2 linked regions of the Neodiprion lecontei genome follow. The protein of the gene in region 1 interacts with the protein of each later gene in a pairwise test. Links are inferred from orthologs where the notes say so. Each region holds a gene or a part of one and is shown on either strand. Other genes may lie near its edges. The genes, in order: alpha- and gamma-adaptin-binding protein p34 and AP-2 complex subunit sigma.

Region 1 (12,056 bases):
CGGTATAATTCTGGTGTACGCCGTGCCATTAAATTGTACATCTTAGATCGGTGAGCGCATCTTTCAGACATTCGAGACACCCGTTACAGTACCGTATTACGTTGGCTAATTGAAAAAGAGCGAAAGATGAGATAAGAATGATAAAAGGCGAGGAGCGCAAGTCGACTTGCAGCCGACACACCGTTCTGTACCCACACGCGAGTTCGAGAACCGTGTCTACGAGCATCGCCCCGTGTTTCCTGCGCGTCTTATAGGTACCTATATATAATACATCAGGTAGTTTGATTTTTTAATATACAAATCGTTTCAAACAGAGTATATATTATACTCGGCTATAATACACGCTTCGGAGCAACGGCTTATGGCATACCTAATAAACGACGCATAACAAACGCGCGATAACGGGTTCGTCGATCCCGAATTTCTGAACGATCGTACGCGACGAACGCGGGAAGATTTGGGAAAAAAATATATGGTTATAATCGATTTTGGAGAATGCGGAAGAAAGGAATTTTGCCGCTATGCCGTGTATGTAAATAAATTATAGTAGGTATATAAAACATTATTCCTTGCAGTCAAATTCCTTGAAACTGGGTATATAAAGATTCTCGAGGTCGCTGATTTCTAAAATAGGATCAGATGTGCGAAATTTGCAAAATTGAAAAATACGGATGTTAAATGAGCTCGTAAGATCTATTTTTATGATTTCAAATTCGCCATGTTCGATCCGCTATTTTGAATCTTGAATATTTGACGTTGGATTCGGTTTTAACGACTCCAAAAATCCAAGATTACCGAATTCCGCTTTTCTAGTCACCATAACCTTCCCAAGATTACATTTATTCTGTAAAAATAGGTGCTTTCAACACTTTGTTCACACTTATAGCGCTAAACTATAATCGCGGAATCATCAAAATCCTTCCTAAAACATCAACATTGACATCTTATCATTCCAATTACGTAAAAAAACAAAATTACAGCGATATCTCAAAAATTGAATATGAACCTTGAATAACCGATTCAGAAAAGATCTTTCATCTATGAGACGCTGTGCCACAAAGGGTTAATTCCTGCTCATGCTCGAATAAAATGAAGATTAAAGAAATAACTCGTTAATCTTGGATAAAAAAAAAAAAAACTATAAGGATATCTCTTTCATACAGTTGAAAGAAAACGAGGATATGTTCTCATGTCTCTCGTCGCGGAGTAAAAGCCTGCACAAGTGGCATATACGGGGTGTTGAAAAAATTACCAATTGTGAACGGTGTATCCGTGTTATTATGTAAATACACTGTTATTTTCACATACAGTGCAAAACAATAGGTATCTTTTTACCTAAAAATTTCACGATTATGATAATACATCGTATAATATGTACTTTTATTCCTCGCGGTAAAAATGTCGATAACAGTCTGCGGTTATTTTATCCCGCGTGTTTCTAATCTGTATACAATAAATCCGTTGCTTTTCATCGATCACGAGTAACAAGATGGTACCAAGTATAATTTTTCTGCTACAGCAAACGCCCCGAAATTTCTTCTTTCCGAAGACTCCTGTTTTTCTATTAGGTAGGCACCTACATACCTACATACCTACACTTGCTACAGGTATGAGTAAACCATGAGGTCTGTGCACGTATATGTACTTATGTTTCCGCGTGTCATTTACCCAGCTGACATACCGCGGATAAAGAGAAAATTTATACGAGAGAGAAAAAGAGAGAGAATTAGAAGGGGCTGAATCATCATCCGCGGAAGCTGCTTGCGGCGTGTCCAGCGTTTTTACATATAATCATGCGAGACTTCACTCGGGCAGGCAAGAGGTATAATACACGAGACAAGATCTTCCTTTCGAATTCTTGGCGCAAGGTTTCTTTCAAGGAATTTTCAAGCTAAGCAAACATATCGGTATTCAACCAACGCACGCCTACGATCACCGAACCTGTCTCTCTCCTCTGGGCGGGATTTTACTGGACATCAGTGTCCAGTTCCACGGATTTTAATACGACGACCGCAACTCTCGAACACCGCTCGGAATCTTAAAGTCCAAGAAATTGCGATTTTTGCCTCGAGTTGGTTCGAGATTTTACCAATTTTCAAGGCCCCTCGATTTATTTACCCGGATCGGGTGTGGTAAGTGTACCAATTAACGAGACGTTTAGAACCAATTGTTGACCCTTGTATTTTTCAAAATTACAAATTTACGGTACAAATTGTGAATTTCTCGAGGATTAAAACCAATTGCTAGAGAGTTGGACGATAGAAATAAATTTTTTTGTTATTCAAGAACTAAGGATCAAACAGATGGAACAAAAAGAGGTCAATAACCGGTACACGTACCTTAACTCTCTAGATCGTAATGGCGTATTTCTGCGAGAAGCGGAAACTGCGGAGTCTCTTCGTCAAACCCACTATAGTTTCAAGATTTCTTATTGTAGCAGAATAAATAAAATTTACGAAAATAGCCGTGGTTCACGCGATGAATCCTAATTTTACGAGCGCGATAAAATAACGACTTTCGTCTGCAAGCCGGCAGCAGGTGATGGCTGTAACGCACGCTCGCTCAATGCGATGTTACGACACATAGAAATAATGCTCAAGGTGTGGAAAAATGTCGTCGTAATCATTGACGTTCGATAAATTCTATCTACGTTCACGGGCAAAACCGTTTATCGCTTTATTCAAAATAAGGGATTTTTTTCTATGGGTATTACAATAAATAAGACTGTCTTGCACAAAAAGCGCACCCATTAACTTATCGTACCTACACCTGAGACCGATGCTTGAAAGATCCGCAAAAGAGAAACTCTTTATTTTTCTCATCTCGTCGCATACAGAGGGGAAAGTAATGTTAAACATTTTTGGAACGCGGTGACGCGTATAATGATTTCAAGCTTAAATGCCATACAATCGCGTATAATTAACATACACACCTCGAATACTTATAATCTCTTTTGCAAAAAGCAATATCAAGTCTCTCCGAAATTGAAAATTGATGTAGGTAGCGTGATATTTGAAACTGTGAGTAAAAGGTAAAATGTTGAGCTCAAAACTTAGCCGTAAGAGTTATTAAAAAAATATGTTTTTAAAGTATTTTACGTTTTGAATCGCTTTACGCCGATGTAAAATTAATATGGCCACGATTGGGAATACTTGGGATTTTATTTCAAATCTAAGATCATTTACAGGACTAACCAGTCATCGAATACTGTATAAAGCCAATTAGAATAACGACGAGAATAGCTTATTGTTAGATGTGATATCATCTTTGATGATGTCCCGCAAAAACGACTGACAATAAGCTTATAACGAAACTGATTTGCGTGTAGACGCGCATGTCTTACGATCTACGTCTCAATTTTAAATTTATTTCGAATCCTACAGGAAAAAAGATGTTGTTACGTTATCGGTTTCGTAATAGGATATTCCTAGAAAGATCGTCGTAAGGTAAAATAAAGCAAAAACTCATTAATTTCATTGCCTCGACTCGTTTGCCACACTCGACCAACTCTACTACTGGCACTTTAGCTGAAAATTATGCACAGTTGAAAATGTCTTCAAATAAATTCTGTCCTAACCAGATACGAGAAGGTACGAAAACGTCGAAAAGATTATAATCTCTCCTGACCTTCCAAATCGATAGCAATTGCGTCACATTTTTTGATCATTCTGGAGATAAATTTACTCAGCGGGAGTTCACACTTCTAATTGAATAATATCTAATGGTTCGTTTTTAGGGGAATGCAATTCAATATCATACGTAAAGTTGAATAATTATCACCTTAGCGGACAGCTTCGATTGAATAATTTTGGTAAATCAGCACTGCGTCACTGATTTGCATTAATGTTTTCATAACGGTAAAAAAGGCACAAAACCGAGCATCGGTATTTATTACAGCTATATACGTGTAATCGGTAAACACGGGTCATCGAATAATCAAATTAAATTCTTCAAATGGCTCTGTTGCTATCGGAAACCGTGTACAACATTAAAATTAATGTACGATATCGGACGAGAGAAGACTAAACTTGGAAGTCAGTTGGAACAAAAAAGAAAAAAAAAAAAAAAAACAACATTCGTCTCTGACAAATCCGAATTCGTCGAGTATCAAGTGTTGCGGCGAAGCCCAGTTCGAGTTCACGTTCAAGGTTAACGGATGAGCAATCGACGCCGAGGAATTCAACTACAGCTTATCATCCGGTACATGGTGTGGGGATAATACTGCGGATCCTGATGTGCGGCCGCGTTGGCATAGGAGAGATTTGATTCAGAACACAAAAATATGACTATGCTTATATATTTATTTACCATATTCAACATATACATAATACATGTACAACGCGTCTTCGTTTACATAATGATACCTTCTTCACTGGTCCAGACCGTCTATCTCCTCCGGATCTCCGCCCATCGCTTTCCAGAATGCTGTTACCAGTTCCTCCGCCGCTGCCCGCCTCTGATTCTCCGGCAAAGTAGCCGCGTGCTCCTTCATCGCGAGTAACTGACCAAACAGTTCGCCGAAATCTGCGTTCTCGCCTCCCATCATACCCTCTGCAAGTTTTGTTCAAATAGGCATGTCGTTTATTTAAATTCGTTGCTCGATATTTACTCTCACTTGTAAGACAGCGAACTCTTCATCTTAGGTCAATTATTCTCACCCAGCATGTGCTCTAACTGCAAACCCTGGGACATACTGTGAATCCCGTTCAAATGAACACCCTGCAACTGTTCGTCAACTTCCGCTATATCGATGCATCCGCTTTCTGGTAGCGTCGAACAGCCTGTCAAAAATACCGTCTCTATTATTAAATAAGTGCAGCATGCTTTTTTTTCTTTAAAGATAGTTCACGGGTGGATCGCGTACTTTGTACAAAACTGATTTTTTTCATTGACTCAACGTATGAGAAAAAACATCGTTGATACAGCAGTTATACCTTTGAGATCCATGTTGGGCCAAGTATGAGCATGAAGAGCTTCGACGATTCTGTCAATGCCGTGCTTCTCGTTTTCATCTTCCGAATCATCTGGATTTTCCACTGCCTCGGGGCGATTGAAGTCGACGAGTTCAAATTTGTACTGTGCGCACCACTCCAGGACTAGTAGAATAACATGATTAACTCAGGGATCAATTTGTCGCTACAAACTTACAAGATGGAAGTTAGTAACGATGACGTAATGAAAATTGAATTTATTTTTCACTTCCAAAAGGACTGAATAAATGAAGTTTTCAAACTATGAGTACGTTTCGATTCATCATTTTCAGACAACTCTCAAGTTGCCAAATAACAATCTTTCCTTAAAACGCACCTTTACTTCAATGTTACAAACTCTGTGAATAATGCTGTTGCCAAACTTACCTCGTTCACCATTTCCTCTTTGGATCGTCGAATCCCAAGCGAGTATTTGTACTTCAGCCTCGGAAAGTGAACTGATCAGCGGAGCCCATTCGTCCAGCGCATTTGTTCCATTCTCCTGATGCAAATGTTGCAAGAAAGTTGAAAGGAACACTTCAGATCATTGTTAAACGCGAGTACAGTCAGCATCAGCGACACGTAAGAATTTAAAAAAAAAGCTCTCGTATAAGTACGACTTACAAGTCGACCGTCGTAGTAAATGATTAACGCCTCGACAGATTCGGAGTCAATTTTGACAAGAGGGTTGTCGGTGGTGCAGAGCATAACCTGCGCCTTGTAATATTTGTTCTCGATGTCCCAGAGGTAGTAGTTGACAGCATCATCCTCGGTGTCGAGTTCCTTAGCCCCGATATCTGCGGAATATACCGTTGATGATATTACCAAGTAATTGCTTACAAGTAGCTGCTCATCCCCCGAATCGTTCTTTACCAAAGCTGGGAAGGCTGTACACGTACCTCTGGCTATTTCATCGGCCTTTCCGCTTGCCGTGCTGGCGATAAGCACGCGAGGTAAATTCATCTTATTCCGAGTCTGCGACGCTTATCCACTTGCTTTTCTCCACTCACAGAGATTGTTAACGACAATTGAGAGGTGCTATAAACCAGCACGCGCAACGGGTCTACTAAACTTCAAATTTTAGGTTAGGTTCGCTCGACCACTTTGACAGCAGTCGACGTTCGACGATCGACGCGCTTCGAGCTATCGCGTCTTACAGCTGGAATTTTAAACCTGGCTGCTGCCATGTGCGTTTCATTCCGCAGACGAGTGTCGAACACCGCGGATCGGCGAGTTCTTATCGGTATCGCGCAACCCTTCAATTCTCTGACGAATATGGCTGAACGGTCGTATCTCGCCCCTCCCAAGTGATTGAAAATGACCGGAATCAACGTCGAACGTTGCGCTTTCCATATTAGCTTTCCAGTCTATTTGCCGACTAAAGAAAACAATTTTTTGGCGATGAGACATGAGTGAGTATGAATTTGTTTATTCGGTTTATTCTTACGTTAGTTGAACCGCTCGTAAAGCATTTTGAGTAATTCGAAATTCTCAATATAATGCTCAAGGTGGTTCATTTTCAAACTCTCTTTTTTTTTTTAAGGTGTTCCTCGAAAATTTGTTACGAATAGCGAAATAAAAATTGTCGTAAAACCTGGAGGTGGTAGGAAAATATTTAGAGTTCGCTACCAATTATTATATATTATAGCACATCAAGATATTTTTTATTTATTTTTATGTGTACACCATACGGACTTATATATATACATATGTCACAGTTTGTTTATTTCGTATTGCGCTACAATTAATCAATGTTCATAAAAATCAGTACTGAAAACGAAACAGGGACATTAAGATGATGTAATACTCCTCTTTCTGTAACAAAAACTGTTATTCAAACTTCTTCGAAACGATTAATCTTTCGGATAAAAGACGAGAAGAGCCAACTGCGGAATTGGTAGGCGCAGTTTGCTGTTGATTGATGAAGGATTAATTGCACCAAAATACAAAAAAAATAAACCAATATATATATAGGAAAATGTATGGAGGTCGCTACCAATTACTGACTTATATACATATATAAGTCCGTAAGATGTAACCGTAAAAAAATAAAACAATATTTCAGTAATTGGTTGCGACTTCCATACATTTTCCTACCTCCTGCAGGTTTTTCGACAGTTTTTTTCAGTATTTATCACAAATTTGTCGAGTGACAACTTAAAAGAACAAAGTTTAAATATTAACCACCCTAATAATACTGTAAGCATCAGACTTTACGCTTGATTATGCTCCGATTGCCGTATTACCTAATAACGTTATCGTAACGATTCGTGTTGTGGAAAAACCGTTATTGAAAGATGAACGATTAGGAGGTCTGATCATCATCTGTTTGATCGATAACGATGCGTCCTATAATATAGCGTTAAATATTAATTATACTGTGATTAGGAAGGTGTTAAAATTTGATCAGAACTACGCTATACGATCAATATGTTCGATAAATCGACAAAGTCAGATTTGAGCCAAAATCATTCTTTTTTTTAATCGGTAAGCCACTTGTTGAGTTATTTGTGAAAATACAAATATTCGTTTGAACAAGTTTGATTATTTATTGACCTACGAGTAATTGAATTATAAGTACGCAACTGCAAGGAAAACTGAAGACAGGTTCTTGCAGGCTACTAAATTTTTCCCGCTTATTTATTTATGCTCTCCATTTTTAAACGTCACATCCATAGCTTGAAATATGTAAATTGTTTTCAAGTTACAAATATCTCTGAAATTGTCAGATTTTCACAGTTTATACGTTTGAGAATGTCGAAATATGTTTAACAACTTTACATTGTTAAAGGCTCGTTACGTACCTGTCTATTGAATGAATATTCGATTAAAAGAAAGTGAGAAAAAAAGAACATTAGAACTGAACTAACAATATCACATCGCTACATCAATATCTATATATTAAACTATAAGGACACTTTTGTTTTGTTGTTGTTTTCCATATCTTTTTCATTCCAAACTAACATCTTCTCCAACGATTTCTCAGCCAATCAAATCCCGGATATACGGAGACAGTTTTTTCAACAAACAGCAAATAACTGAAAATACGCTCGGCGATAACGTGGCGCCCGTTAAGGGATGACGGTGCCTCTTCATCCCCTTTCACCTCGCCCCCCCCCCCCCCCCCCCCCCACCCACCCTTCCCCTCCCAACGCCTCTTCCCCGGGCGTCGCGACGCCGGCGTGAAGGATACCCGCTAGGGCAATAATTCCGTAAAGACAGGACAGAACGGAACGAAACGGCGAAGGGTCAGGGTAGCTCTGCCGGGTGGTACGTTGATTGAGGCGTGCAGATCCCGGTCCCACGGCTCACCCTCGTTTACAGAGTCTCGGAGTGCAGGTCATGAATTAAATTGTGTCCGTGATCTCGCGGCCCGTTCACCCCTCGGATCGTTATTGAGTTGACAAACTTGTCACCTGTTCGCTGTTTCAAAAAAGAAACCTAGAAGTAATCCGCATTTGCCGTATACGTATACCGACTTACACATCTCTGCACTAAATCTATCGGAATAATAAAATAAACAAAATATAATCTTCGTGTAAACATTAATTGTGATCGTTCTGACGCCAAGGGTATAAAGTCGAATCCCTGATCGACTTGACGTTTCGCCAAGCACATGGTCCGGTGATTCGATCATGATGATCACTCTTCGCAGACTCTTGCCAACCACCGCCGTTATCGCCTGCATCCTCTTTTTTAGCCTCTTTCAACACGGTAAGTGCACGAAAGTGATTATCGTCCTTCTCCGATTCCCTCGTTTAGTCGTAATAAATTGTTTGTCGTGCAATCCTGAACGACGAGATAACATACTTTTTTTTTTCTGTTTGCCCGAATACTGCGATTGACTGTCGATAATTGATCGATGTAAATTCAATCACTTTCGTACAAGTATTTCGTGGCAAAATTATTATTATTATTTTGTTTTTGACCTAATGAAGAAAATGCGATTCCAAACGAATGCGGGCAGAATCTTGTTTTCATTTATACGGTCGAGCATTATTTTGCAATTGTTGAATTGACAAAATGCACTTTAAAGTGAATTAAGCACGACAAGGATGGGACGGACGTACCGTTGGAATGTGGGTGAAAGCGCGGGTCGCGATAACTAGGGTGCAAATGGGGTGGGGAATGGGGAATGGGAAAGGGGATTAGGGGTAGGATGCAGAGCTTGGAAGCAGATATCTCTAAGCAGCTCTCGGGAAGTCGTAGAAAATCCACCGTACCGTAGGCCGAGGTAGGGCTTCGGTTACATGAGGAGGAGAGAGCGGAGGTTAGCAACTATTCGATGTATAGCTGCTAAATCAGTTCTAAAATAGATATGAGGAATTTAGCACAAGTCGATTTAATTTTTACAAGGAAAACGCAATTGCTTTTACACAAATTGTCGATACGATTTGTATTGTGGCTCGTTCTCAGCGCGGTGATGATTGAAAAAGTACGCGGTAGCGAAGATAAGATGAAAAATCATGTTATCGTTTTTCAAAGGTCGATGCAAAAATTAATATTCATTTTCACCAAATGGAATGTATTTTTTCAACAACAGAACATCACTGTTAAAAATTATCACATGGAACTCCCTACGCTGTACTGAAAGTTTTATTCGGATACGGAACAGTAAATTCACCGTACATTTACTGTTTATTCAAATTACCGCCTTGTGTTTCTCCTATAAATTTTAGTAAAATCCAAAATCTAATTTACGTCGCTACACCGAATTAGCAAATCTACAATCTGATTTCGTAAATTGACAATCTTTTGTACAGCAAATGTGTAGTAGATCCACAATCATTTTCAACAGTGCATATCACCATGTTAAAAATGGTGACGTTGAGGTATAAACGAAGCATTATAAAAAAAAAAAAAAATCACTGTTTTGCAATTTCAGAATTACTTTGAACGAGTCAAGTTTTTGAAGTACGAGTATGAAATTTTGCCTTATTATCGTTCGCTGAATTTCAGACAATTCTTGCAATATCGCGAAATAAACGATTTCACAACACGTCATTGCAATAATATTACTAACTTCAATCTCACGACTCTAATCATTGTTTCCATAATTCTCTCCGCGCTTCTTCACGTTACGCACACGGCGTATGTCTGAAAAGTTTCGCTCGATGTTCGCCGGGCAAGCGAAAGCGAAAACTCGGGGATACCGAATCGAAAGCGGGCTCGTCAGGCGATTTTCCGGTTCTCGAATTTCCAAATTTTCCCTATATGTACAGTTAGTCGGCAGCCTCCCGGTGGCTGCAAGCTCCATGGTCTTTCCCCGTCGGGGATATCGAGCGACCCACTTTTCCCCCTGCAGGGAAGGCACTTTCAACATTTGCGAGGAGGTGTTTCTCCTTATGATAATAACGACTTCTTGTACTCCCCGATATCAGTTTCTTCATTTTCCGTGATGGTCTTGCCGCAATTCGCGATGCGGATTCACCCTTATTCCATGCGAATGCCAGGGAATCGTGTCGAATCAAGCTCGTGTTTATCATCTTGTCTCGCAATCAGCACATCGATGCATGCACGACGTATAATACCGACTACTGTCACAGATGATAAATATTGTACCCGTATCTTGACTGTAATTCGGTGGAATGCATTATATTCAACGTGTATCAATTGACACTTTTTGAAATTTGAGAGCGAAAGTTTCTTCGTAGTGTTAATTGTTTCTCTTTTTTTTTACATATAGTTGCACAGATTTGCTTGACGTGATTTTTTTTCACGGTTTTATTTTTCCATCAATTTGTTTATATCAATAGTAATATATTATGGTTCGCGATAATACATGAATCGTTCACCAAAATGAAATAAGATACCGTAAATGCTATTAGAATATGTTCATATTGCATTAATTGAAATATAACAATATTGCTAACAAGATCATGATCTATATTTGATACGTACGTAGATTTGTGGCGCCCCTATTTTATTCACTCGATACGTACGAAATACTCTAGTTTACAATAATGAAAATATAAATTTTTCATCTGCCGTTGTTAAAACTGATTTTCATACACAGCTTACGCTTCTCATAATAATTTTTGCGTTGTTACCACGTGAACACTATTGACGGGACAGTTAACTCGCGAAAAATCCATCTTCCAACCAACAATATTATGACAGCATTTATCACTTATCGATACATCAAAAGGCGTACGTGTTAAATGAATAACTTTACGAAAATGAAAAACTTTCTAAAATCCATACTCGCATTCCTGTAGCTGAATAATTTATATATTTTTTTTTTCATTCAAATTAGTACACGCGAGGAAAAGTGGGTTATTGTTTTAGTACATGGACGAGCAACTCAAACATATTATATTTAAATAAAAACTGGAAGAGCGATCGTAGAATATCAATAAAGGTTGAAAAATATTTTTTTTAATTCTCGCCTACAATTTCGACAATTTCTTCTCTTGCAAAGTTTTCTACAACTTTACTAAATATATAATGTATATACATATATAACACATATATTCCGCTAGATTTAATTATGCAAATACGTTTCCGATACTACGTAGAACTGACAAAACAAAAAAAAAAAATCTACAATTATGTATCAACGCTATCTTAAGAAATATTCTTAATTTCTTCGTGCTTCGCTAGAAGCTAAAAGTTTTGGATTTACCCATATAACCGATCTCTCTCCTCAAACTCTTGCGCGAATACGCAACAAGGCTCAACCTTGATGAATTCTTATATGCTGTATAAGTCGAATTAGCGAATTTACATTCTCACCGCGTTCATATGCCCAAATACGATGCAGTCGATACATAGATACACGGAATTTATGGATGTACGTACGTACGTTATACATCGTTTCTCAACGGCTGTGTATGTGCGTAGTTATACTCGTTCCACGTTGCATAATTATTATTAAACACAAAATGTGTCCAATATATATTGTTGTATTATATTATTATCTTCGCCTTATTCAATATGCGCCACAGGTGCGTGAAAACTATTCACAGAGATTTATCTTAATGTATAATATGTTACGTTCTCAGATCGTAAAAATGTGTCGTGACTCGAAACAAAGCGCGGGTCGAAAATAAAATATTTTACCAATTTTTCATAACGTTGTCATTT
Region 2 (11,719 bases), on another chromosome or scaffold:
TTAGCTTCTTAAGGACCGAGAGATTGTTCACTTTCGTACAACGTGACTTCTAACTCCCGCGGGGTTAAGAGATTTCACGACTTCGTATCATCGTCGTGCGATTTCTACTTACCTAAGTTACATATAATTATATATGCTCTAGACTTTTCCTTGTATCTTAGTTTTCCTGGTAATCGATCTTAGCTTCTGCATAAAGCTTCGAATTTCTTATTCCATTTCAAATTACCTCTAAATACTGATAATGCTTTTATTTCACTCCGTTTCCATAGCACAGAACAGTATCGTAGATCTAAACTATTTTGGCCGATTGTAAATCATTTTTTAATGAATTTTCATTTATCTTGAATTTCTATTAATTTAAACAGTTGTCGAACTATCAAGTATTTCATAAATCGTTAAGATTGATTATTGTAATAATTTCCTGATGATTCTTCCGCCGATGCATTTTCGAGGGTGAATAACCCTTTGTCAGACATCGTTATCTAGCGGAAATTGCAACGTAACTTGTTTTCTTTGTCTCGGTAACGTTACATTATAATGCATATCCGCTAAGAAATTATATGTACGGTTCAATTGCCACATATTGAATTTCAGCCATCCCTAGACACATTTCTATCGGTATCAGTTTACGTTATCTTTTTTGTATCTCTACGTAAGATTGATGCTAGAGCCGTAGTGTGTGGTCATGAGGTCAACCTCATACTACGCCAGTTATACACGTATATTACAAGTATATACAGACCGGTCGCATACGTTATACGTATAATATAGAGGCGAGTAAAAACGTCAAAAGATACAAACCCTCGTCATAAATAAAATGATAAGTCGCAAGACTTTATACATATATATATACATACATTTGTGTAGATATATGTGTATATATACAGTATACAGTAATACGAATCGGAAATATTGTATTCTGGCAACATTTATACGTAGGTTCACCCTTACGCCTCTCTTTCACAAATTCAAATGAAATTGATTGAATTTCGATGTACTGAAAAATCATTCAACAGAATAATTCATGCTTCAAGATGTATTTCTTTTTTGATTCAATACCAGAAAATTCTCTTGAGAATCCAAGTGATCCTGAGTTTCTGACGATACGTAATACGCGCTTGCGTCGTTAATATTACAGTGTAAAATTGGACATAATTGTAATGGTATGAAAAAAAAATATGACATATCGTCAAATTGCTGACCCATGCAGAAACATCATCATAATTTGATCAAATTTGTCGCAATATCTGAAAAAAATTTTTTACTTGCGTAAGACGTAACATAAAAAAACTTAACGTTATTTTTATTCATATAGATGAAAAATATAATGAAGGAATTCTTTGTCGGTATAATATTATTGCCGTCAATCATATGTATTTTACACCATCCGATCTATATGTAATACTCCTTAAGACGAGAAGTTCAATTATATTATAAGTATGAGATTAAACGCAACATTATTTTTCATGATGTGTGGTAACGCAGGTCAAACTATCATCGTGTATAAATGTACTGAACATAATAATCCCGCCACAAAGTCAATGAGCCCAGGCCGAAAACACTGCAGTATCAGACCGATCTTTACATGTGTTATAAAGTATATGTTATGCAAAGGAAATGGAATTAGCCACGCAAAGTGTAAGATCTATTCGTTCTGTGCAATTGCGATTTTCTGCAATAAAAAGATCCTCAGGCAGCTTCTGTGTAACAATTATAAACCAAGCGAAAAAATTAAACCTCCATTGCATATAATATGTATTGTTATTTTTCTCTTTGCATTGTAGGTACACTCTTTACACTTTGGTCGAATTAAAAACTGTATCTCTTGTACCTTATAATTAGCTTCACCGTTTAGTTAAAAGACTAACACATATACATATTTATATCATACACGTATACCTAACGCATCTGAAATCCGATGCCAAGAACTTCTGTTGGACTGCCGCATATCAGTTGGAGAGTGTCTGATGCGAGTGTCTTAATCAGGGCCAAACATGACGAAAAATGACAGTTTTTTCATGAACTTTAATCAAAGAAAAAAACTCCCATACCCTGTATCATTATTATATTAGGGTCAAGATCCCGGCGTCTCGTATAATATAAGAAACGTATAACGGAGTCTGATTGTGAGTGCATCCTAATTGTACGTGGTTTTATGGTATCCCAGACATACATATACCGCAGTCGTAATCAAATGATACAATAGCAGAGCTATAATATTGCGTGCTTGAAACTTTGGAGAGGTCTGAAACAATCGTTTCTGCTTGTTTTAGATTGTAAAATCGACGACGGTGACCTTCTCCACAATTTTATAGTCAAATTAAAAACCGACGAACGTCGTGCGGGCGCCAAGCTGCGAAGACGATCGTCTCCGTTAGTGTAAAATATTTATATATGTATAAGTATGTATAACTGCTTGAATTTTATGTATGAAATTTCTTGTATTATGAGAGAATACAAGAGAGGCGTATCCAGGCGAAGCGACGCGCGATATCAGTTGCAGGGGTCGCCGCCACTACAAGCTCCCGGCTGATCTACTGCGTCTTCTCGTCGTCCGATAACCCGCGATAACCCCGACCCTAAATGTTATACATATTCATACAGTTTTATAACTCCGAGCTTCGTTCTACATCTTCGATTTCAGGTACACGTAGGGAAGTTAATGATTTTTACCGCGATCATTGCGCATCGACGTTGCTGCGACGGCGGGCATGAAAATATCGGCAAGTGTTTCTCGTTATTACATTTTGAATTATTAATCACAATGGGGAATAAATTGACCAAGAAATATTGCTCTTGCTTAAATTTCTCGTCATTTCCCGTAGGAGATGCCGGGAAAAAATGTGAAAAGTCTTTCAGAAATATAAGAAGAAAATTAATAAGATAAAGTTACCTTATTAAATTTCAGTTATCGAAGATGGGAATTTTCATAATTTCTCGTGATCGTTCATTATCAATATTATTGTAATTCGACAGACACGCATGGTCTCACTGTTTCATGCGGCACGAGCATAATGCTGATTAGAAATAATTTGACACGTTCTCTGGAGTGATTTAGATTTACTGTGAAACGAACCAGTGAGTTGAATGAACTAAAGGAAATAACGCCGGCAAAGATGATTCTTCTCCTCACGCTTACGACCAGAGCAAATTAGTGTACACGACAATTAGCCTGCATGGGCGTTACGTTTACGACTTAATAAACGTGAATACGGATACACCGCATGATGGGCATTTTATTTCGTGGATCTACATTGATCTTCTATGTATGTAGGTACCTATATTATATCATGTATGACCGTGAATTCGACGTCTTGAATATGAGTATGGACTTCTTATTTTGCGATCACCCGACGACGATCGCCATCGTGTGGGGAAAGGGGAAATCACTAAATTTTGTTTAGTTCGCGAGCTGCAGCGGGTGATTTAATTAAAAATCTGTCGAATGGTTCCATGTTATTCGATGCATGCTTGCAGTTTTAGTTTTATTAAAACCTACGCCTGTACACGTATATACCGAAGCACATTGATATAATGAGACTATTCACAATGTTATCGAACTCAATTCAGTGTTCATAATAAGTGTAGCGAAAATTGTCATCAATTAGTATTTTCATCTGTTGTTGTATCCCGGCTCTACATAATGTTTCAATGTTTTATCATTTTTTCCAAATTTCTATCTGTAATACAATTTAAATCGAATTTTAAGCTTCTGTCCTTTCTAGTTCAATAGTCGTGCTATTGGAAATTAAAAGAGTGACGTCATAACGGCAAGATGTCGTAAGGTTTGAGATATTTTCGGCGTTCGTATAATTACCCTAGATTTTTCTTTCCAATTTATTCTGAGAAAAAATTAAAGATCACTTCGTGATCGCGAGTTCTGTGTGCAGTCAAGCACTTGATAAAGTAGGAACCTGATAACCGTGCTTAACTAACTTATCGACATAGAACAGTGGACGTTGCACCTTTTACTGATATCAACCAGCGGTAAGACAGAAGAATTCTGTATAAGCTGCAAAAAAGATAACTTGCTGGACTTTTGAAAGAAATGTGAAACAAAACTTGAGGTGTAAGAAGAAATGGAGCATGAGATTGTATTGTAGAGAGATTTTCAAATACAGAACATTTCTAAGGGAATGGTATTTTGTTTTATTATTCGAGGGAGTTCAACATGAGAAGCTGTTTAAGAACTTTGGTTTGGCTAGTTTCTCGGATTTCACCAGCAAGAAACATTTCGTCCACTACAGTGTACACCTGAAATTACAATGGTATTATTAGGAGATTGACTATTATAACAACAGACTAAATATTCTACATGAGATGCGTTGTAAAATTTTTCAGCAGGATAAAGTACCTTATAGAAGTTGAACACCAAGTCTAGTTCGCAAACGTTGTGGAAATACTCGTTCAAGACTTCCACAAAATTATGAATCGCTTCCAAGTAGCAAAGATTGTTGTCGTTCACATCCACGCAAATACAGAAGTACAAGCCAGCGTATCGTCTGTAGACTATCTTGAAGTTTCGGAACTGAAACCAAGATACATAGGCGTCAAGCCAACCATAGGAAAAGCAATTTTTAAAAAACAGTTTCTTCAGTGTGTCAGAATTTGAACCAGAATTGGGAATCTTTTCATTATCAGTAGATGTACTTTGAGCCTTCTTTGTGACTGTTGTACGAATCAAGCGTCGAACTATTTAACGAAACAAAATAAGCTCCTTTGCACTGAACTAAGAAATTATAGACATATTATATCCAATGAACTTGTAGAACCTCAACGAAGTTGGTGTGTTTAGCATCTCTAACAGTGACGACGGCGTGAACTTCCTCGATGAGCTTTTGTTTTTCATCGTCATCAAAATTCATGTACCATTTGGCAAGACGAGTTTTGCCCGCTCTGTTCTGGATTAGGATGAATCGAATCTGGGAAAAATGTATAATCAGAAACGATCAAGCTAGCGTTGTACGGACCTGACAAAATTTTATAAACAAGCAATAATATTGATTTCAATGAGATAACGTAATTCTGGATACTGAGTTGAACCTTTAATCAAGGTGCACGGAATCAAATAAACATAAATTCTCTCGCTGAATTGTATTAAATTTTGATCGTATTCTCATGCAGTACTTGCCATTATCTCTGAGGGTGACAGATGACAGGTGACACTTTCGATCAAGTGTCTTTTTAGGTTCGTGTGATAAGTCCGCCCTCCTGCTTTATCAGTATTCTATCTGTACGCGTGTAAAATGCAATGAGATCAGACAACTTCAAGTCAAATTCTCGGCTGTTCGTCGCTTAGTGTCACCGTAGCGCCACGGAGCAATATTGGCGCTTCGGTAGCCGGCGCCATCTTGTTGGTGAGCGAACGCCGAAGACGCCGAACCACCTGACAAACGATCGAGGGCGGCCGAGCCGACAAGCACGCAGTTAACTGCGCGAATTTTGCTGTGCTTGATTGTGTGGTAGAGTTAATTCGGCAATTTTCGCGATAATTTATTGACCAGCCGGCTACGAGGTTGCGATTCTTTTCAGATATTTATACCGAGTGTATTGAATACTTAACACGGCGTTATGTGTATATTCTTCAGTCAACGTCTATGGTAGGTATACTACATTCACGCACAACAAATGACACTCGCGATTGAATTGCTGCGCTTTTAAAAATTTTAATCAAAATGGAGGAGAAAAGATATAGTGAAATCAGTGCAATACTCCTTTACTTGAAGTTAACCACGACGTTGTGATTACAGCATCATCGGTTTCACGTGTACATGATCCCTAACAAATAGTGGTGAACCAGTGAGTGAAGTATCAGTTTTATAGAATTTTTTGGAACAATTGTTATTCAACGTTTCAATTGTCATGTGCAGTGCAGTGGTGAAACTTCACATTTGCGACGAGCGCCGTGATTTTCTGCAGGCGTTTGGCGTAAGGGTGAGTCTGATATATGATTTGTCTCTTTGTGTAACGTATCAAGTATAGGTATGTTCGTACTGGCGTCGAGTTATTACTGAAAATGTTGTCATTAAGATGAATTTCGTGAGGGTTTGTGATATCACTTGACGATACGCTCGTTTTGCCTCCATTTAAATCAATCCTCTCTCCAGTTGGATGGTGCTTGCTTGTCAATCGACTTAATTGAACTACTAAAAGAGGTTTATTTGTGGGATAAACTTTATTATTGATTGACATATTTTATTGAAAGGTAAAGAAAAACCTGACGTCATACCATCATGTGTGATGTTTTACATCTGGTTGTATCATCTGTGATTTATATTCGATAATTACATTGAACCACTAAAAGACGTTTATTTGTGGGATAAACTTTATTATTGATTGACATATTTTATTGAATGGTAAAGAAAAACCTGACGTCATACCATCGTGTGTGATGTTTTACATCTGGTTGTATCGTCTGTGATTTATATTCGATAATTACATGCTTCCTATATTAATTTCACGCATACATAAAAAAGTATAAAATTTTTTGTTAATTTGACCGTGTACTCAGAGCGTGTAGTTGATGCATTCTGATTCTGAGAATAAGCTAAGCATTCGACGAATACCTCCAGTTGTGCAAAACTCGACAGCAAAGGACCACTGATCTGTAATATCTAAATCAGTGCAAAATACCTATATCAAAAATGTTGGGTACCTAGTGCAGTTGGCATGTGGATATATTCTTTGTTTCTAGACGTTGATTAGAAAACAATCCTGTAAAAATCTCAATTTTTTTATTGTCGATTTTGTTCATAGTATGCAGTGAAAATTTTCAATAATGTACGGATCATATTACAAGTTTTTTGGCCATTCGCAGTTGTATCATGGTCATTATGCGGAAGTTCTAGAGAATCTCAGGGTGCCGTTTCTGTAAGCGATCGCCCATGCTAGTGATAGAGAAGTATTTTCCATTATCGACGTAGCTTTGTGTCGACCGTGGCGTCGACTCTCCTCGCATACGACCTTAGCAAAAATACCTTTGGCTGACCGTCCTTAAAGCTGCTTATTCAATGGGGAAAAGCAGTAGTTAATGAACACAGCTTTGATATTTGACGTCTAGAGTTGAATCATCGACAAATACCTACCCATAAACAGAATAAAACATCAAAAACTGAATTTAATTCAGATTACAAAAAATAAATGTAAAGTTGAGAGATTTTTTACCAATCAGCGATCGTAATTTGTCAGCTATTAGTGAGCGACAAGGCGAAACTGACAGTGTGTTGGGTATTGCCACTTTGACAGATCAGAACGCAAGTTCAATAATCGGCGTTGTTATTTCTTGACGGTCCATTAAATCATCGTTTGCGTTATGAAGCAGCAAAACGTTGACACAAAAACAAACCTCCCTGATACCGGGGAAGCGGACGAGTGTCTATTCGAATATTTGCATGCCGAAATGGTGAATTACGTTCTGAGTTCAAAAACAAACGGCAAGGCAAGTTATACTACAGTTTAAATATACTGACCAACATCCCAAAGATTCACAGTTACATCGCGTTCCTGGACGTCTGCAAAAACATATGTCAAACTTACTTGAATCCGTTAACATAACCCAAGGTTATTCTTCGACAGAATGTTCAATCAACTATCTAATCGTTGAATAATGTTTTAAATCAGGAGGGCGAAGAAGAGCTTTCGCCTTTGGAGTGGATGGGATTCGGTGTTGGATATCGCATCATGGAACGGTTAACTAGGGAATGGGCGCGTTTCAAGGATGAGTTGGACACAATTAAGTTCATATGCATGGATCTTTGGTCAAGTTTGTACCGCAAGCAGATCGATAATTTGCGAACGAATCATCAGGGAGTATATGTACTACATGACAATGCATTCCGTTTACTAACCAACATCGGTGCTCCTGATAGCACGCAGTACTTACGCGAGGCTCCACGACTCTTAGCTTTTACCTGCGGTCTACTTCGTGGTAGCCTTGCAAATCTTGGAATAGTTAGTACGGTCACAGCAGAAATAGCTACATTACCGAGTTGCAAATTTCATGTACAGGTACAGAGAGTTTAAAATAATGTAAATAATTATATAAGTATGTAAATTTAATAACTTTATTGAAAATGTATAAACACTATATTATTTGTGTAAATGACTGTGATTATGCATTAATCGACTTAATAGACGTAGTGCAACAAATACTGCAGGACAATACACATAATTTCGGTAAAAGACATCGATATGTGCATGTGTGTAATGTTTCCATCTACTCCAGGTCACACATAAATCATGCGATCGTAATATGGGTGTAGAAAAAAACATAATGAAATCAATTTACTATTCGAGTTATTTAACCTTAATAATTCGTCATCAAATATTGGTCCAGTGCAAATAGTATTCTTCAAATATCTCATGTCGTATCACATGGACTGACAAATAACAAAACCACACTTAAATACAAATACATGATCAGTCTCATGTTTTATTGGATTACATAATAATACACAGAATTCAAGTATAGAAATGTATAAAAAATCAAGCAATTTCCAGAAAAAAAAAAGAATAGAACTAAACAAAAATTACGTTTGTCAACTGTTGTCAAGAATTGACTAAATCTATCTACATTGCAGAAATATTGGTAAGCGAGGCTTGGGTCAAATAGTTTAAAATGAATATAAATAGACGGATCAAGCAGCAGTGCCATTACTGTGCGGTTCACTGATATAATTCAAAAGATCCATTTGAGTGGCAATACCCACTGCACTGGTCGTTTGTTTCGCATTTACTATGACAACATATGCGTCTTTTTCAAGAATTCGTGACAGTCGTCCGAGGGTTGCACAAGTAGTCAGCTTTCTGAATTGCTTGAACAGTACTTTCCGTGCGCAATCCGTAGACTTGACTTTACCCGAAATCAGACTTCTCGTAAGGTCATTCAGAGTTACTACCCCTTGGATACTTCCATTCTTTTCTATAAGCGGAATTTGGTCAAATCCGCCTTTCTTCAGAATCGCAATGGCTTCTTGACAAGTTGCTTCTGCTGGTAGAGTAGACAGGGGATTTAAACGAAGATTTGAAATAGAAGTCGTCCACCACCATTTGTTCGCCTCTACCGGCGGGGGTGGATCCTGAAACATCATAGTGAAGTCAGTTTTAACTTTTTCTTCAATTTACAATTTTATTTTCTAAACACTTAGTTATTTCGTACCAAAAAACCTCTGGCTTCCATCCAGTGGTCCGATACAAATTTAGTCATGTAGTTTCTGAGACCATCTGGCAGTATTACAACAACTCTTTGATCTTCTGGTAGATCCTTGGCCAATTTTAAAGCTGCTGACATAGATGCACCGCTACTTCCACCGCACAACAAACCCTCCTCACGTATTAGTGCTCTAGCACAGTTCAGTGAGTCTCTGTCATTCGTTTTAACCCACAAATCAACTGAACCACGATCCAAAACCGTAGGAGTGAAGTCGTATCTGAAAATGTATGTCAGTTAGATATGTAGCAGACTCAATGTGATCTAGAAAATTCTAATTTTGCTTAGTTTAACACAAGGAATACATACCCAATTCCTTCGACCTCATAGAAGGTTACTTCACTTTGATTTATTTCCGCAGGCTCTGCAAGAATACTACCTTCCGGATCAATAGCTACAATTTTTGTCTGTGGTATTAGTTCTTTGAATCTGCGACTGATCCCACTAATGGTGCCACCAGTACCAGCTCCTGCTACTAAATAATCGATTTTGCCTTTGCATTGTTCCCAGATTTCATACGCTGTTTGATCGTAATGAGCTAGAGGATTTCCACAATTGGTATACTGTAAAACATAAAGACGTTAGCATGTCTTACAAAGGAAAAGAAAAGTCTGCCAACTTTCCATTTCCATCGATGTCTAATTACCTGATCCAGAATTACGCTATTTGGTATTTCCTTCTGTAATTTCTGAGATACTGTTATATGACCTTCGGGACTGTCCCACGCAGCCTCGGTTGGCGTTCTAACAATCTCAGCCCCCAGAGCCCGCAGTGTGTCAACTTTTTCATTCGACATCTTCTCAGGCATTACTATGATACAGCGGTAACCCTTGACTGCTGATGCCATCGCCAATCCTATACCTGTATTTCCGCTTGTTGGCTCAATTATGGTATATCCTGGCTTGAGAATCCCTTTGTCTTCCGCATCTTGGATCATTCTGTGCGCGATCCTGTCTTTTACGGAGCCACCAGGATTCAGAAATTCACATTTTGCCACTAAATTTAAGCGACAATTAATTGAAATTGAAAATTTTGTGTCCAAGTCGAGAAATGAGCTATGATATCCTGCAAATAGTACTCACATAATTCACATTTGATATTAAATGATTTGCAAATATTGTTCAATCGCACCATAGGGGTTTGTCCAATAGCAGCCAGGATGTTGGGGAGTACCTCCTTGCGATTATTAAGACTAGAATAAACAACACGTATTGTATAGTTTATAATTAATTGGTTCAGATAGATGTTACACGAAGAGCATTTGATTTCACAATGGCTAGTCACTTATCAAAAACAAAGTTTTCAAACACTGTGTTCTACGGGCTTGAATGACAAGTATTTCAATAACTATATCATTTGTCCATTAAATGAATAGTCTGGAGAGTAAGGTTTCCATAATTTTCAACATAATGCAATTGTTTAACGTGCATAATACATTTGCTCAGTGCAGTTCAATTCTACGACACCTATTTGACAATACGCTGGATGAGATTGTTCAAAATTTTCCAGGATCATGGACAAGTTGTTATATGTGGGACATATACTATCAAATTATGGTGCAAGTTGTTTTCCAGCAAATTAAACAAGTTGATGTTTAAGTTTTATACGCTAGTGTGGTGTAGATGTTATCAAGTATTTATTCAGCCTCTGCATAAACTTGCGACACAAATATGGATTTGATGTAATCAAAGCGCATAAGTATGAAATGGCAAGTAAACTACGTCTAACAAGGAAAGTTTTAAGTGATGTATCGAGTAGTTTTGTGCCCGTAACGAATTATGTACCGGTTTGTATCAAAAGTACAATTATACAAATGACAAATGTTGTCTTACACGCAAGCATGATCGATCGCCAGGGTAATATTCGATATCTTCTACTTGTTCCGATAGACTGAGTTCTCTATAATTTTGCTAACTTCGATTGTCAAAAAATTGAAAAAACATCAATGCTTTGATCAACAATACTTCAATAAGACTGTAGGCAGCGGCATCATCACGCCTAGATCATTGATTATGTTATTACTCATTAGGCATCGCATGCATCAACTAAATCTAATGTTGTAGTTAATATCTTGCAAGTGAGATAAAAGGCTTTTCCTACTCTCTGATACTCATCCAAGTATATGTTTGAAGTATTTTCGGAAATTCGTCAACAAAGGTTTTGAACGCGCCGCTGAGGGGGTTCGAGGCAAACAAACTACTTGTTAATCTTTTTTCATTATCCTCTGAACCGGTCGGCCCCGAGCCAATAAGACGCCACACACGTGTAAATTCCTACGCTACTGACGAACGACGAGCAGTGATTCTTCATCCGAACCTACGTGTTTCATTATTAGCGGAAACACGTTACTCACGCACACGTATCTGAAATTGATATTTGTACATCGCCGATAGGAATAGCCCTACGTTCCATACGTTCATATCGTAGTTTGGACAACGATCCTTATACACTTCTCACTCAACGAAAACTTGAATTAAAATTTTTTACTTACGGTGGTCGTGTTGTATGCGG

Evidence for each region.
Region 2: the proteins of alpha- and gamma-adaptin-binding protein p34 (region 1) and AP-2 complex subunit sigma interact in binary tests that used the Homo sapiens proteins (3 or more experiments, as listed by UniProt). The link is inferred for Neodiprion lecontei from reciprocal best matches to the Homo sapiens genes AAGAB and AP2S1.

Annotation. Positions count from the first base shown.
Region 1 is NC_060260.1:7,896,782-7,908,837, reverse strand, and holds alpha- and gamma-adaptin-binding protein p34, read right to left. Parts: upstream 6,103-12,056; 5' UTR 5,934-6,102; coding exon 5,870-5,933; intron 5,768-5,869; coding exon 5,595-5,767; intron 5,473-5,594; coding exon 5,358-5,472; intron 5,097-5,357; coding exon 4,935-5,096; intron 4,782-4,934; coding exon 4,659-4,781; intron 4,552-4,658; coding exon 4,370-4,551; 3' UTR 4,284-4,369; downstream 1-4,283. Other genes in the region: uncharacterized protein LOC107220945, read left to right, coding at 8,606-8,684. UniProt on the Homo sapiens protein: May be involved in endocytic recycling of growth factor receptors such as EGFR.
Region 2 is NC_060261.1:36,409,193-36,420,911, reverse strand, and holds AP-2 complex subunit sigma, read right to left. Parts: upstream 5,278-11,719; 5' UTR 5,135-5,277; coding exon 5,132-5,134; intron 4,923-5,131; coding exon 4,773-4,922; intron 4,529-4,772; coding exon 4,355-4,528; intron 4,255-4,354; coding exon 4,153-4,254; 3' UTR 4,071-4,152; downstream 1-4,070. Other genes in the region: trafficking protein particle complex subunit 6b, read left to right, coding at 7,313-7,438, 7,621-8,022; cystathionine beta-synthase, read right to left, coding at 8,637-9,077, 9,158-9,428, 9,518-9,771, 9,855-10,204, 10,291-10,400, 11,700-11,719. UniProt on the Homo sapiens protein: Component of the adaptor protein complex 2 (AP-2). Adaptor protein complexes function in protein transport via transport vesicles in different membrane traffic pathways.